2 linked regions of the Caenorhabditis elegans genome follow. The protein of the gene in region 2 interacts with the protein of the main gene of each other region in a pairwise test. Each region holds a gene or a part of one and is shown on either strand. Other genes may lie near its edges.

The links.
Region 1: the proteins of ubc-22 (region 2) and nhl-1 interact in a two-hybrid assay, tested with the Caenorhabditis elegans proteins (one study listed by BioGRID).

The regions. Positions count from the first base shown.
Region 1 is NC_003281.10:9,147,275-9,155,865, forward strand, and holds nhl-1 (RING finger protein nhl-1), read right to left. Parts: upstream 6,629-8,591; 5' UTR 6,531-6,628; coding exon 6,489-6,530; intron 6,056-6,488; coding exon 5,946-6,055; intron 4,392-5,945; coding exon 4,250-4,391; intron 4,205-4,249; coding exon 3,861-4,204; intron 3,815-3,860; coding exon 3,655-3,814; intron 3,577-3,654; coding exon 3,493-3,576; intron 3,442-3,492; coding exon 3,317-3,441; intron 3,264-3,316; coding exon 3,129-3,263; intron 2,498-3,128; coding exon 1,168-2,497; intron 877-1,167; coding exon 751-876; intron 705-750; coding exon 570-704; intron 524-569; coding exon 332-523; 3' UTR 121-331; downstream 1-120. Other genes in the region: ZK512.8 (uncharacterized protein), read left to right, coding at 1-71; Protein irld-34, read left to right, coding at 7,842-7,902, 8,294-8,397, 8,444-8,585.
Region 2 is NC_003284.9:8,866,860-8,871,847, reverse strand, and holds ubc-22 (UBiquitin Conjugating enzyme), read left to right. Parts: upstream 1-2,685; 5' UTR 2,686-2,717; coding exon 2,718-2,813; intron 2,814-2,946; coding exon 2,947-3,042; intron 3,043-3,088; coding exon 3,089-3,165; intron 3,166-3,215; coding exon 3,216-3,294; intron 3,295-3,732; coding exon 3,733-3,840; intron 3,841-3,937; coding exon 3,938-4,030; 3' UTR 4,031-4,245; downstream 4,246-4,988. Other genes in the region: ubc-21 (Ubiquitin-conjugating enzyme E2 21), read right to left, coding at 19-90, 144-248, 549-675, 716-798, 844-939, 2,062-2,223.

The DNA of each region.
Region 1 (8,591 bases), on a different chromosome or scaffold from region 2:
CCGCCAACGAGCGCTTCACCGTCTTCCAACAAACAGCTGGCCAAACTTGCCTCTTCACTTTCAAAGCTTAGAATCCACAATCGAATGCAATCGGAAATCCAATGAATGTTTCCTTTTTCTCAATAAATATTTTATTGAAACTCGAAAACAGAAGTGTTTTAAAACCGAAAGTCGTAATGGGTAATAATAATTAATAATACTTGTAAAAGTGCTTTGTACCTAAAGATGAAAACACTAAAAAGTTGGGTGGCATCGGTATCGATAACAGAAAATTACAAAGGAGACATTTTAATTGAAAATGAAACAAGAATAAGGCCCGAAAAAACATAATTTAGAAGATCTGAATGCGATGATTCTCGCGATCGGTGACAACAATTGAACCGTCAGCAGTGACACAAACATCTTCGACACCTTTCAGTTGTCCAGCTCCTCCACCCCAAGTTCCGAAAGAGGAGACAAATTGACCTTGGGCGTCGAAAACTTGGATCCTGTTGTTACCGGAGTCGGCGATTATTAGGTTTTCCTGAAAATGAATGGTTTAGAATTTTTCTTTAGCATTCCAGCCTTACCTGTGAATCAATAGCAATTCCACGTGGGAATTTGAATTGTCCACCATGAAAACCTTCCTCGCCGAATGAAAACAAATGAACACCGTGGGGATCGAATACGCTGATTCGATGATTCGAAGAATCTGATACATACACCTGAAACGATTCAGAATGATTCATGAATCTATCTGGAATCACTCACGTGATGAGTAACTCTGCTAACTGCTATGAACAATGGACTGTTTAGTTGACCAGGTAGATGTCCGAAAGATCCGAATTTTGCAATGAATTGACCATTTTTGTCGAAGACTTGGACGCGGTGATTATCCTATAATTTAAGCTTCACTTGTATTTTAGCATGTGGGGCAATGTTTTTTAAAATTTAATCTAGATCTGCAAAGCGGACCACAATAATGTCCGGCGTCCGAATTTCCAAAAAAAAAAAAATTAAAAAATGATACTCAAAATACCGGACGTCCGGTTTGCCTGCAATATATGAATCTACAAAAACAAAGTTCTTCTCTTGATGATAATTAATAAACAAAGTTAATTTTTATCAAAATGTATACAATTATGAACTTTCGCATTACTGAGAAACGTCTCATGATAGTTGACCTACCTTATCAGCCACATAGATACTTCCCAAATCATCGACAGCAACTCCCCATGGATTATTGAACTTAGCATTTCCCTGTCCATGTCCACCGAATGAGAACAAATGATCTCCTTCCAATCCAAAAACGGAAATTCGATGATTGTACCTGTCGGATACAATAACTCGGAGCTTTGAGCTTGCTAGCCCGGCAGCTGAATCAAGTTGTCCGGCACCGGCACCGTAGCCTCCGAACTGACGAACAAATTTTCCATCTTTATCGAAAACACAGACACGATGATTAGACGAATCACAAGTTGCGACAAGACCTCCGGACAATGCACAAATTCCACGTGGCCAGTTTAACTCGCCATCCTTCGCACCTTTTCGTCCGAATACTGCACGTGGTCTACCACGAGCCCTCCATTCACCAGCTTCACGAGAAGCGCTGCGGCCACGCTGTCGCAAAACGGCAAGCTTCTCTTTCTCTTCGTCGGTTGTCGTAGAAGAGTCTAAACGAGATTGACGTTCGGCGAGAAGCTGCTGCACTCGAGCACTTGTGAACTGTGCCTGTATGTCGGGATTTGTGCGCGAGCGTTGGAAGCGTTGCCTCCGACGCTGTAACCACGCTGGCACGACGATGTCACTTTCGTCTTCCTCACCTGTGAAATGTGTGACTGGAATCGCGACTTGTTCAGATGTCCCATTGGTGATCGGAGCGGATGCCGGAAGTTGATGTTGAGGTGGCGGAACATTTATGATCGTACCAGTTCCTGGGATCATACTCATCAGTCCATCATCACGGTTTACAGATGCCGCGCGACAAACTATTCGTATTCTACCGCGGTTGGTGGATACGGGAAAATCCTCTCCCTCTGATTCTTCACTTGAAACTGCTCTTGATGCAGCTCTAGATGCATCTTGACGTTGTTGATGAGCTCTACGGATGGTTTCCACTTTCTCATTCAAAGAATCATCGTTACTGGACTGTTGACGTGGCAGAGGTGGCTTTCGGATCGGAAGTTGTGGAAGTGGAGCAGGTGATGCATCTTCAGTCCTCTCAACCCGTTCAACAGATTGTGGTGGAAGAGGAGGTTTACTAGCTGGAGATACAGTTCTTGGTGTTTCAGTATTCGGAACAATCAGACTTGTTGGCCGTGACTTGGTTGGTTCAACTGATCGGGTGACACGATCAGCAGCCCACGGCGATGTTCGTGATGAAGAGTCCGCAGTGACTGATGTAGTAAGAAGAGAAGGAGCAGCAGATGAATTACGGAGACGATTCCAAGCTTCGTCTTCCAGCTGCTGACGACGACGGTAACGAATCGAGGACTCATCAGGCTCAGGATTTCGATGACTGAAATTAAAAGAGGATAGTTTAGAGAGGGAAACTGTATGGAGAAGTAATTGTGAGATTATACATTTAATAAATTATCCAAGCTAAATTGAACTATAACTTCAATAGATTTATGTCAAAATGCCGGTGCCAAATTTAATATTCATAAAGGGCGATCAATATGTGTTTGGCCAAAAAATAACCAAAATTGGATAGTAATAAACCAACATAAAAACGCGGAAACGCTTTTACTTTTTTGTCTAGCCGTTTTTCTTCAAAAATTCGAATAAAATTTTGAAAATAATTAACTTTTAAATAGTTTTTTAAATTGTCCGTTGCCCCTTTCTTAAATATTATTATTTTTATTGGCATGGCAAATTTAGCATCTTGACACAATTCTGGCGACCTCTAAGATATTTTAATGAATAAAACATAAATTGTACTATATTTGAGTGTAAATTGCAACAATAAGCCGTTACATAGAAAACTGAAAACATGAAGTCGAGAGCCAGAGACCGGACGTAGATTCATTTTGACACCTTAACAATGTTGATTTTCTATAATTAGTGTTCTACACTATACAACTAAACTACTTGACTAAAAATCACACGTTTGTTAATAAAAAACCAAAACCAATTCCCATGGAACATACCTGTGCCTTGAAGATGTCCTATCAGCTTCTCGATCTCTCATACTTGCTCTTTCGTCAGATTTAACCCGATAACTGTCACTTTCCAATGGTAAACGGAATGGTCTTGGAAGGTATGATTGTTCAAGAGGGAGGTATCTACAAAGTATTGACTAAAGATTTTCGTTTTTTTTGAAGTTTTTGAAATATACCTTCCCGAAAATTGAGGAACTAGAACACAAAGTTCACCAGAAGTAGTGATCGCTGCTGGAAGCTTAGCAGCATCATCTCCAGCTGAGAATCGGAGTTTTCGATTAAAAAGTTCGTCGGCGTCGGGCTAAAGCATTAATACAATAAGAAATGTTCAACAATTAAATTAAAAAGTTACCTGAAAGTTCCTAAGATATTCAAGCCCTTCCGTAAACGTGTTTTTCATTCGAACAAGTTCAGAATCTTCAATTGAACATTCTCCCTGAAAATTTTAAGATTTTTTTGTTATGATATCTTTTTGAAATTCTCGATAGCTTCAAAATATTCAATGAAATCCCACCTTGATTGCAGCATCCAGTCTAGAAACTGCTTCACTCATATTAGAACTTTCAATTTCCAGAACATCACGAAGATTGCTCATATTACGAGTCTCAGTAGCTTGAAATGTATCAACTTCCATGAGAAAGTTGTCTTCCTTCTTTTTCAGATCTCTCTGGTATCTGAATTTAATTTTTTTTTCGGGTTTTTATATCTTTTCAGACAAACCTGTGGAAATATTCTTTAATTTCTGCTTTTGTTGTCTCACAGTTCATTGTCATCATATCAACTCCTTTTGATAAATTATCCGATGCTTCCGTAATTCGATTGGCAAGCCGTTTAACCTGATTCAAAAGTCGCGACATGTCTCTTTTAAGCATATCCATATGAGTCTGTCGACATTCTTTACATGCTTTTCTATCACAATGTGCACATGGTTCACAGTCTGCTTTCTCATCACAAATCTTGCACCGTTCCAAATTGTACCTGTGAATGTACTCTTCAATTTCTGCAGCCGATTCTGGTGTGGCCTGCAGATGAATCTCGAGAAACCCGGTTAATGTGTAGTTTGGCTGAAAATGAAATATTTTGCTTCAAAGTGATACTTATTTTCACACCTGAAACGCCTTTACTCCGTCATATGGAATATTGTGTTCTGCTCGACATTCTGGACATTTCAAATTGCGATGTAACGTGTCTGCACAACTTTCCAAGCATGGATAGCAAAATGTGTGTTGACAAGGTAGAAGCTTGGGTTGTCTGAAAATAGTTTAAATCTATAACTTGATATTTAAAAGTTTAGCCATTCTGTTCAGCATTTATCTCTATAAAAATCAAAGCTCAAAGTATTACATTTCAACTACCAAGTTCTTCAGATGTCCAATGTCAATATCTCACGATTTCACAACTTTAAAAAATCATAAAAAGTCTCGTTTCTCTTTCTAAATATCTTTCAAAGAGATCACGTCCAGCAGGCTTCTTCGTTTCCTCATCGGTGTAATACACACACTTTGCAGCCCCATAGCCAATGGCAAAATAGTTGAGAACTGGCGGAGAATCCGATTGAAAAGTCTTCTCTTGGCTCCCTTCTCGATTGTAAAAAAGAGAAAAGAGAAAGTAGAGGAAAAGCCGTTCGACATGGAGATAGATACAACGGTGAAGCTGTTTCGAAATACTCTAACAATGAGTTGAGAACAACTGTGTGATTGATTTTGAAGTGTTTCATTGTTAAAAAGTGGATTGCCACCAGTTGAAATATTGTCATATGATTTCTAAGATTTCGAAAAAAATTCCAATCATCTATTGAATTGAAAAAAAAAATATTTGAAACGTTTCTTTTATCGCAGGAGGTATTTTTGTGAATTTTCAATGAGCACCGGGTTATAGCCCAAAAGCTAGAGCTTTTAATCTAAAAAATTGGCAAACTTATGATTAGGAAACTTCAATAAAAACGTTGAGTTTTGAAGATAATCGCCATTGAGAAAAAATGTTTAAAAACACTCCTAGTGGGCTAAAATACTACGCCAACTCTTCTTACTCGTCTTTCTCAAAAACAAAAAGATTTATAAAAAGTTAGCAAGATAAAACTTGAGAAATTAAACTTGAGAAGACAGAACAAGAAATGGCGAGTTGAAAAATATCATAGTATTACACCTTCTAAGCTTGAAAAACTTTACCCCTACGTTCACTAAATACAATGTTTGTCATGATTGTCTGAGGTCTCGTGCAAAGTTATTCAAATTTTTTACTTTTTTTTATTTTATTTTTGAGACTATAAGTGTATTATTCAAATATTTTACAAGAAAAGGTTCTCGTTTTTAAAATGGATGTTTACATTTGTTCATCTATAACAGATCAATGAAACATCTCTTTTTTTTAATGTTCCACTTTTTACTCTGACGTAGGTTAGTCTATATTTATTGACACAAACGTTGTTGATTTAACCCAAAAATGATCCTCATTTTTAAAAGATCCCTGCAGGATCTTAGATTGTTGATTTCTCCATAACGTTCTCCTAGCTAATCATCATAACAGTCTGTCTGATTTTATTATTGTTTTGATGCACAGTGCGTAAACAACCGGATGTTTATTATGCATCCCCTAAGTCTATCTCGTTTTTTCAAAAAAATTCCCCTCAGCCAAGCGGTACTTAGCCTAGGTCATATGATAACAGTGGTCAGTCAGAAGTCACACGGCCTATGTCTATCCTTGAACTACACACTAATAGTTTGTTTTGGTTGTCCGTGGTGCTTCTTCTTTCAATTTCGTCTGCTCACTTTCAAAACGAACAGCTGATTGAGATCACAGACTTACTTGTAGCGATCGAGACAAATCGGACACGTCAGCAACTGCTCGATCTTTTCGAGAGGATTCACAAAATCAGCTGGTCGACTCGATGGTGGACGTGACATCAGCTCGCGCATCTGAAAGAATCTATGGGTCATGTGGGTTAGAGATGATTGCACTAATCAACTAATCAATGTTGTACAGGGACTTAACTTTTTCTCAAAATCAGTGGAATAACTTTTCATTTAAAAAATAAAAACGTTACTTTAAAGTTGCAATGTCTATTTGAAATAAAGAAAATTTGTACAGCACCTATAGGGAGCTTAAACGAAATATAAAAATTTTGAAAATTGACAAAAATTTTAAATTTAAGTTTTAAAACTCAAAGGACCGTTATAGGGTTACCAATATTTTTAAGATAAAAAATTTCAATGAATGTCTCTAATAATTATTTTTTGTAGATGTTTAAAGTATATTTCATTTCCAGTTGTCCACAAAATTAATTTTTAAATGTTTGGAAAACGACGAATTTAAGATTTTCTTTAAAAAAATAAATTTTTTAGAACAAACCTTTTCGCGAGCTTCTGCTTCATTTTGTGGAGAACTGCTCATAAGGATTGAATTTTAGAAATATTGGAATTTCGAATTAAAAAAAAACAGGATAGAACGAGAAGACGAATCGAATATAATAATAAAGTGGGGTGTACTTGGAGAGTTGGGGATGAGTGTGCCGAGTGCTCCCGGGAGCCAAAAAAGATTTGAGACGCAGAGAAGTTGGAGAAAGATCTGGGGAGCAACAGACGAAAGACGCCCCCAGCCATCTCCTGCAAACACAGCGGCGGCCGATATCAATCGGTGTGCGTGGGGTGCGCGGATCGGATTTTGAAAAGTTCTTGGTTGAGTCTTTTACTGGTTTTTAGGCTTTGTTTGACTATTTACTCATAAGTTTTGAAACCGATGGGAATTTGAAAAAAAGATCAATAAGATATGAGGATATGAACGGCGGGAAGATGCAGCTGGTTTGTTGGTTCTCGAAGATTATGATAACTGTCCTGAACGTTGAAATATTTGAGAAGAAATTGACAAATTGAACTTCAGTATTTATTTTCAGAAGCTTGAAAGTGTAGATTAAAATTAGGATGTTTCTTTAAAACATAAAAATAGTCCGAAATTCAAAAAACCACAAAATAAAATCGAAAAATAAACCGCAGAAAAATGGAAATTCGAACTATTAAAACCGCGATTTTGAATTCCCTCCGAAATAAAAACTTTGACCAATCAGTGATTTGCTCCGCCCACTTTTCAACCAATCAGGACGATTGTGTAGAGTTTGAAGACGTTGAGTGGTTAGAAAATGGGCGTGGCTTATACTTTTGGAAGAAGTTTAAAAATGGAGAACAGTCACAATTGAAACTTGCCTTTTTGGTTTGTTCATTCTTTTTTATTTTTGTGGTATTTTCATAACACTTTGAGTATTTTTCTTTAAAGCACATTTTTTTAAACTTTTCAGGTAATTTGACGATTTGACAATTTCCCGAAATTCCTTTTTTTGTATTTAAAATCATGATTATTTGATTTTTCAAGCGTATGTATGTACTTATTTTGTCTTTTTTGTTGGTAAACTTTTGAAACTAATGATCATATAATTTGAATAAAATCTGAAAGTTCAGCATCCTGCTCTCTATAATTACGTAATCTTCAAAACTCCCACTAACCACCTTTCGACTATTTTTCATTAAAAAAAAACCAGCGAGTGCAGTAGCTAGAAGGCGTGCGAAATTCGCTGGTTACTATGACAATCGCTTTCCGGAGGGTGGGCGGAAATAATAAAAAATAAAGCAGTTTTTGAGTTGGTTAATCTAATCACAAGTTTTGTTTGTCTATCGTCTGGTTGCAACGAAAAAGAGTAACGCGCTGGAATTTATGCAATGGCCACTTATTGCCGCTCTTTTTACTCAGTTATATCACTTTGTAATTGGAGATGGTAAGTGAAAATGAAATAGTAAACATATTACTATTTTAGTTAGTTTTGGTTTAGAGACGAAATTTCGCAAAATGTTGGATAACAATTAAATTTATAAGAAATTACTACTCTCTTCTAACTGTCCAGCTTATCTCGGTTTTTTTTGGTTTTATCAAAAATTTGTTAATTGACAAAATACGCGCTAAATATTGATCTATATTCTGAAACAGTTTTTGAAACAGTTCACTTAAGAAATCCGAAATATGAGCCGTCAAAATAGAGAAATGATGGTGCAAGTCTAATAGGGAAAAAACTGCGTTTTAAATTTTATTTTCCAATTGCCAAATGCAAAAATCTTAAATATCATTCTAATCGGTAATACTTTTGATAACTTTGAATATATCATTTACAGATTGTTATTGCCCATTATGTGAGTTGGACAAATTACCCGACAACTGCACAACAATTCATGGACATATTCAAATGGGTCTCGAGTCAACAATGCCACCGTTTGAGGTTTTATTTATTCAAAACACTATAGGATTCCAATAATTTGTTTAAGATCGTTGAATACAAGCTGGAAAATGTCACAAAAATAGTTGGATGCATAACGATAGCCAACTCTGGTTTCACAAGTCTGTCACTTTTATCAAATTTGGAAATAGTTCAGTACTCACAAACTGGAAATTCTTCTACATGTTCCTGTATGT
Region 2 (4,988 bases):
CAAAAAATGTGGTGGTTCCTAGTCAAAAATAAATTGAAGAGCTTGCTCAAGTTTCCAATTGTTGCAGCTGAGGTAGACAATTGCTTCAGTCTAAAAATTACAAACTTAAGCTTCCTAGAAAATTTGTCATTTGAAAATTTTACCTCTCTGATTCCCATCTCTATGAGACGCCCGACTTTTCTATTGAAATCAGGTTCAACATCTTTCTTAGAGTTTGCGAAGTAAGAAGTCCAGTAGACAGCGGTCGCCTGAAACGAAATTTTGAAATCATGAGTTTTTTCCAGATTCTTGGATGCATTTTTTTAGCAACTCACTTTTAATTTTGCATCTGAAACCTCGAAATTAATTTTTCAACTCCATTTACATTGACGTATGTAGTATATTATTTTCTAACTTTTTAAAAAAACTACATATCGTTATTAAAAAGTTAACTCCGTTATTCCAGTTCAACGAATATCAGTGTATGTGACAAATTTCGGTTTGCTTTACAGATTATGTATGTCTGTATCAAAGCTCAAAAAACATTTTCTATTAAAAAAAATTTCTACCGTAAACATTGGATAATTATTGATAAACTGTTTGGCAACCACTGCATCTTGAGGGTCCGATGGTTCAGGAGAACAGAGCATGGCCTGAAGTGATAGAAGAACTGTCCGAAGTGTAAGACTTGCAGTCCTTAAACCCATTTGTTAACTAGAAACATGTAAAAACCAACCATTTATCCTTGAGTATGTCCAAACAAATGGTTCCAGTTTGTGAGCTGATGTTTGGATGCCAGATTCGTGTAACAAATTTTGCCTGTATATACTCAAATGCGCGAATGTGAAATATAATTTCGGTAACCTTTGGCGGCTCAAACGGATAATGTTCAGGAATATCGACTTTTATTTCAAAAGTACCTCCGGCGTAAGGTGTGCCCTCTGGACCCTTGATGAATCCCTGAAGTAATGGTGTTTTGGTGTAAATACAGATATGTTTAATTAGACGATTTTCTGAATAGTTGATAGACGCAATTCAATAAAAATTTGGCCATAGTCTGGAGTGATATGTATTTTTAAATAAAACAACGGGTACATTTTGAAGCAAAGTCATCAATGATATTTTCATAAAAACTGGAAAAAAACGTTTTTGATGCCGTTCGTTTTAGGACATATTAAATTGAAACTTTTTAGTAGTATGTAATCTACACATGTTTTATTCACATACACGGTAGTTCTTCTGAGGTTCGGTCAGGAGTTGATAAATCAAAAACTTTTCTAGAAGTATTTGGCAAGCAGAAGTCACAACCAAGACTGGCTCCGCAAATTTCTTTACAGCTAAAAAGTTCGCCAATATCACCAAAAAATAACGAAACACTTAAAATTTTTCAAATGGAAAACATGTTACTTTTATAACTTCAGAATGATAAAAACAGCTGCACTATATATACCTAGTTTCAAGTGACACTTTTCAGAAAAGAAATCAAGTTTTAAAAATTATGAATTGTTCAGTTGGCGACAGGCTCAAAAGATTTTTATTTTCATTTTTGGGACAAAAGTGTTGTAAAAACTTGTTAAATTCTTTTTTTCCTGTGAAGTACCACTTTTTTTTAGTTGAAAGTTTTCAGTTTGAAGACAAAGTGTGCACAAATTTTAATATTTACGAATAGGTAACACCCGTTTAATTTTTTCCAAATACACAATCAACAAATTTGGCATTGAATGCACTGCTCATTTACTTCTAATGGGTAATTTTTATTAAAAATGATGTATTTCAAATACCACTTATTATTTTTTTTCAAAATGTCACAGTGCTAAATGTCTCAGGATCATGGCCTTTATAAATCTGATTGCTCACTACTATCGCGCGCCACATTAATCCATGTATTCTTCTTTCTATGTCTGAGTGTCTCGCGCTTTTCCTCTCTCACAATGGGCCCCCTCTTTCCAAAGGTCCATGAATAAAAAGACACCTGTTTGCGCAACAGCGAAACTTATTGATTATAGTGAATGACATTGGGCGCCACGCCTAAAACTTATTTTATGCTTAAAATGTGTGCTTTTCGGGTTCTGTTTCTCTTACTTTGATATCCATTAAATTGTTCTCCTTTATTTCGACATGAATTCCCGCTTCCGTGATATCAGAAGCATTTGCCACCTCTTTACACTTCCGTGTGACCCGTGCCAATGCGAGATTTGACATTTTATCTGAAAATTGCATTTTATTCAATTTCGATACGCTCATATTTGAAAAATGTAATAAAAAATCTCATTGGCACTTAATCGTACATAGTGTTTTTCAAGGTCCACTTAAACTCAAAAAAGGACGAAAAAAAGCTCATTTGCATTCTACTATAACACGTGCATTGGAGGCGGAGTGTCGTTGCCCATATCTTGGTGCACATTCTTCTTTTTTCCTTACATCTCCTTCTTTCTTTTTCCCCTCTTACTATTAGTCATTTCACCCGCCAAATTCAAGTCTTTTTTATCTTGCACACGCGACACCAAGAATTCTGTGGAAAGAGTGGGAAGAGACGAAAGATGAAAAAAAAGGGCTAGTTTTCTTTTTTTTTCTCTTGTTTGCCACTCCAACTATTTTTGTTTTCACATCGATACCCTCATTAATTCAAAACTTTTGTCGGTTTTTGTGCACATATCCAGTTGATTCGAATGCAATGACAGAAAATATCTTGAGCGACAGTGATATTTTCAGAATTGTGGCAACAAAAACATCGAGCAATGAATGAAAACCAAAAAAGGTTTCTTGACGATATGGAAATTGCTCAACAATTGTACATTATAGAGATGGTGAACGAAGAGGATAAAAAAATAACGGTATATTCGACAGAAAACTATGAGAACTCGCTTTTTAAAGTATTTAAATGTGAATCACTAAATCAGTTTTTTTTTTTAAGTTTTAAAAGATGTGAAAAACTTAAATAATATCCAACTTTGTTTCCATTGTCAGTTTCACATCGCTGGACCCGCTGACACTCCTTATGAGACAGGTGTATTTGAGGTGGACCTCACATTCCCAGACAACTATCCTAATGCGCTCCCACAAGTATGTCAAATTACAAATATGTATACCCCTTTCATTTTTATTCCAGATCAAGTTCCAAACTCTCATTTGGAACTGTGCGGTAGAGCCAAGCACTGGGCAAGTTCACATCGAAAATTACTCACGGTACGCTGTCATTTTATTAACTGCAATTTTTGTTCTTTATTTCTTTTAAGACTCAATGTTTCGGAGGCACTGTCTTATATTGAAGATTTATTTCGATCAATCGAGGTAGACGAGGAGGTCATGTTCTATGTTAGTTTTAAATGTAAACAACGTGGCATTTTCTTTCTAAAAACTTAAGCATTTGACTATTAAAACTGTTTCACTTTAGATGGTTTTTAGATTTGCAAATAGTGTTAGGTTTCCAGGATTTTACATGATATTTGAAGGCTGCAGAAATTTATTGAAATTTTTTCTTCCATAGTTTAATCTATTCGACATTTGATTCCTCAGTATATTTTTCAACTGGGCACCTTTCAATTTTAATTTAAAAAAAAGTCTGTGCAATTAAAGCACACAACATTCCTGATTTTCCAATCAATTATTTGTCGAAATGAAAAAGTAACGTGACATCAAAATATTTGGCATCTCATGTCTAAATTTTTGAAAAAAGTTGAGAATTTGAAGCCCACATACTGAACATCAACACATTCACAACTTATGTAAATTGTTAATATTTCGAATTTTCAGAAAACTGCAAGATTTTGGACAACAGAATTTGCTGGAGGACGCCCGCTCCCAGACGATGACTGGCAGAAGAAAAAAGTCGATTCTCTGATTGAAATGGGATTTTCTAGAGTAAGAAATCAAACAATGTTTAATTTTTTTTAATTTTTATAAGTAATTTGAGCTCATGCATGGAATGACCAACACATTATTTAAATACTGTTTTTAGCTGGAATCAATTCTTGCTCTGGGTGGTAGTGACTGGAATCTAGCAGATGCAGCTGAACAACTTTTGGAAGGCGACGAGCAGGCACAAGAATAAACGTTTTGTACCAATTTGTCTTTTTTATACCATATTCAATATTTTATTGATGTTTATTGTATATTGTCAATAATTTTTTAAATACTCCATTCAAACAGTTGTAGCTCAAAGGCCAAATGTGTGCTGGTAATTATGTTGAGTTTTGTCGTAGTACTTTATTTGCTTATGTGCTTGTTCTGAATTCTGAGTGATAAATTACGTCGATGAATTCTAATCTTACTAATGAAGTAAAACAACTTACGCGAAGACGTTTTCTCATTAATTAAATCAGGTAAAACAATTGCTGAATAAAAATCTATATATCGAAAAATACTAATCGCTGAATACATTTTTTAAGTGAAGTGAATTTTGAAATCATAATTGAAGTTTTTGCTGATTTATCAGTTTTAGAGTCTAGATACAGTATGAGACTTTAAATTAACAATCTCGACAGATTCGAAAAGTGCCAGAATAGGGCTATTAAATAAGATATTACCGCTTGCTAGATGCACTGTATGCAAAAATAACTATGTTTTCCCAAAAAAAAAACACTCTAATATAATATAAGCATCCTAAAGTTCCGGATTGCAGTTTGCCGAACAGTTTTCGAACTTTCATTTTTGGCGACAGCTGAAGCTGACCAAACTTTTGCACTTGCCAACTCTGGTAATTGTCGAGTGCCAAAAATTCATTTACCGCACAGCTCTGATCTTCAGGAGTTAAACGTGGTCACTGATTCCCGTGCTTACTATTTGACATTAAAATTCCCAGATTCACTACCCTTATTACCAATAACTTTCTTTTAACTGATAAAGCCCTTTGCATTTAAACGCCTCATCATTAAGTTGGTGATTTTGTTTTGAAAAGTCTTTTTTTTCTATGCACTTTTATCCACTTTGTTACTTCTCTGATGTAACACTCACACGTAACATGTTGTTTTTTAAAGTGCAAAGTTAAAAAGTTCATTTTTTGAAAAAAA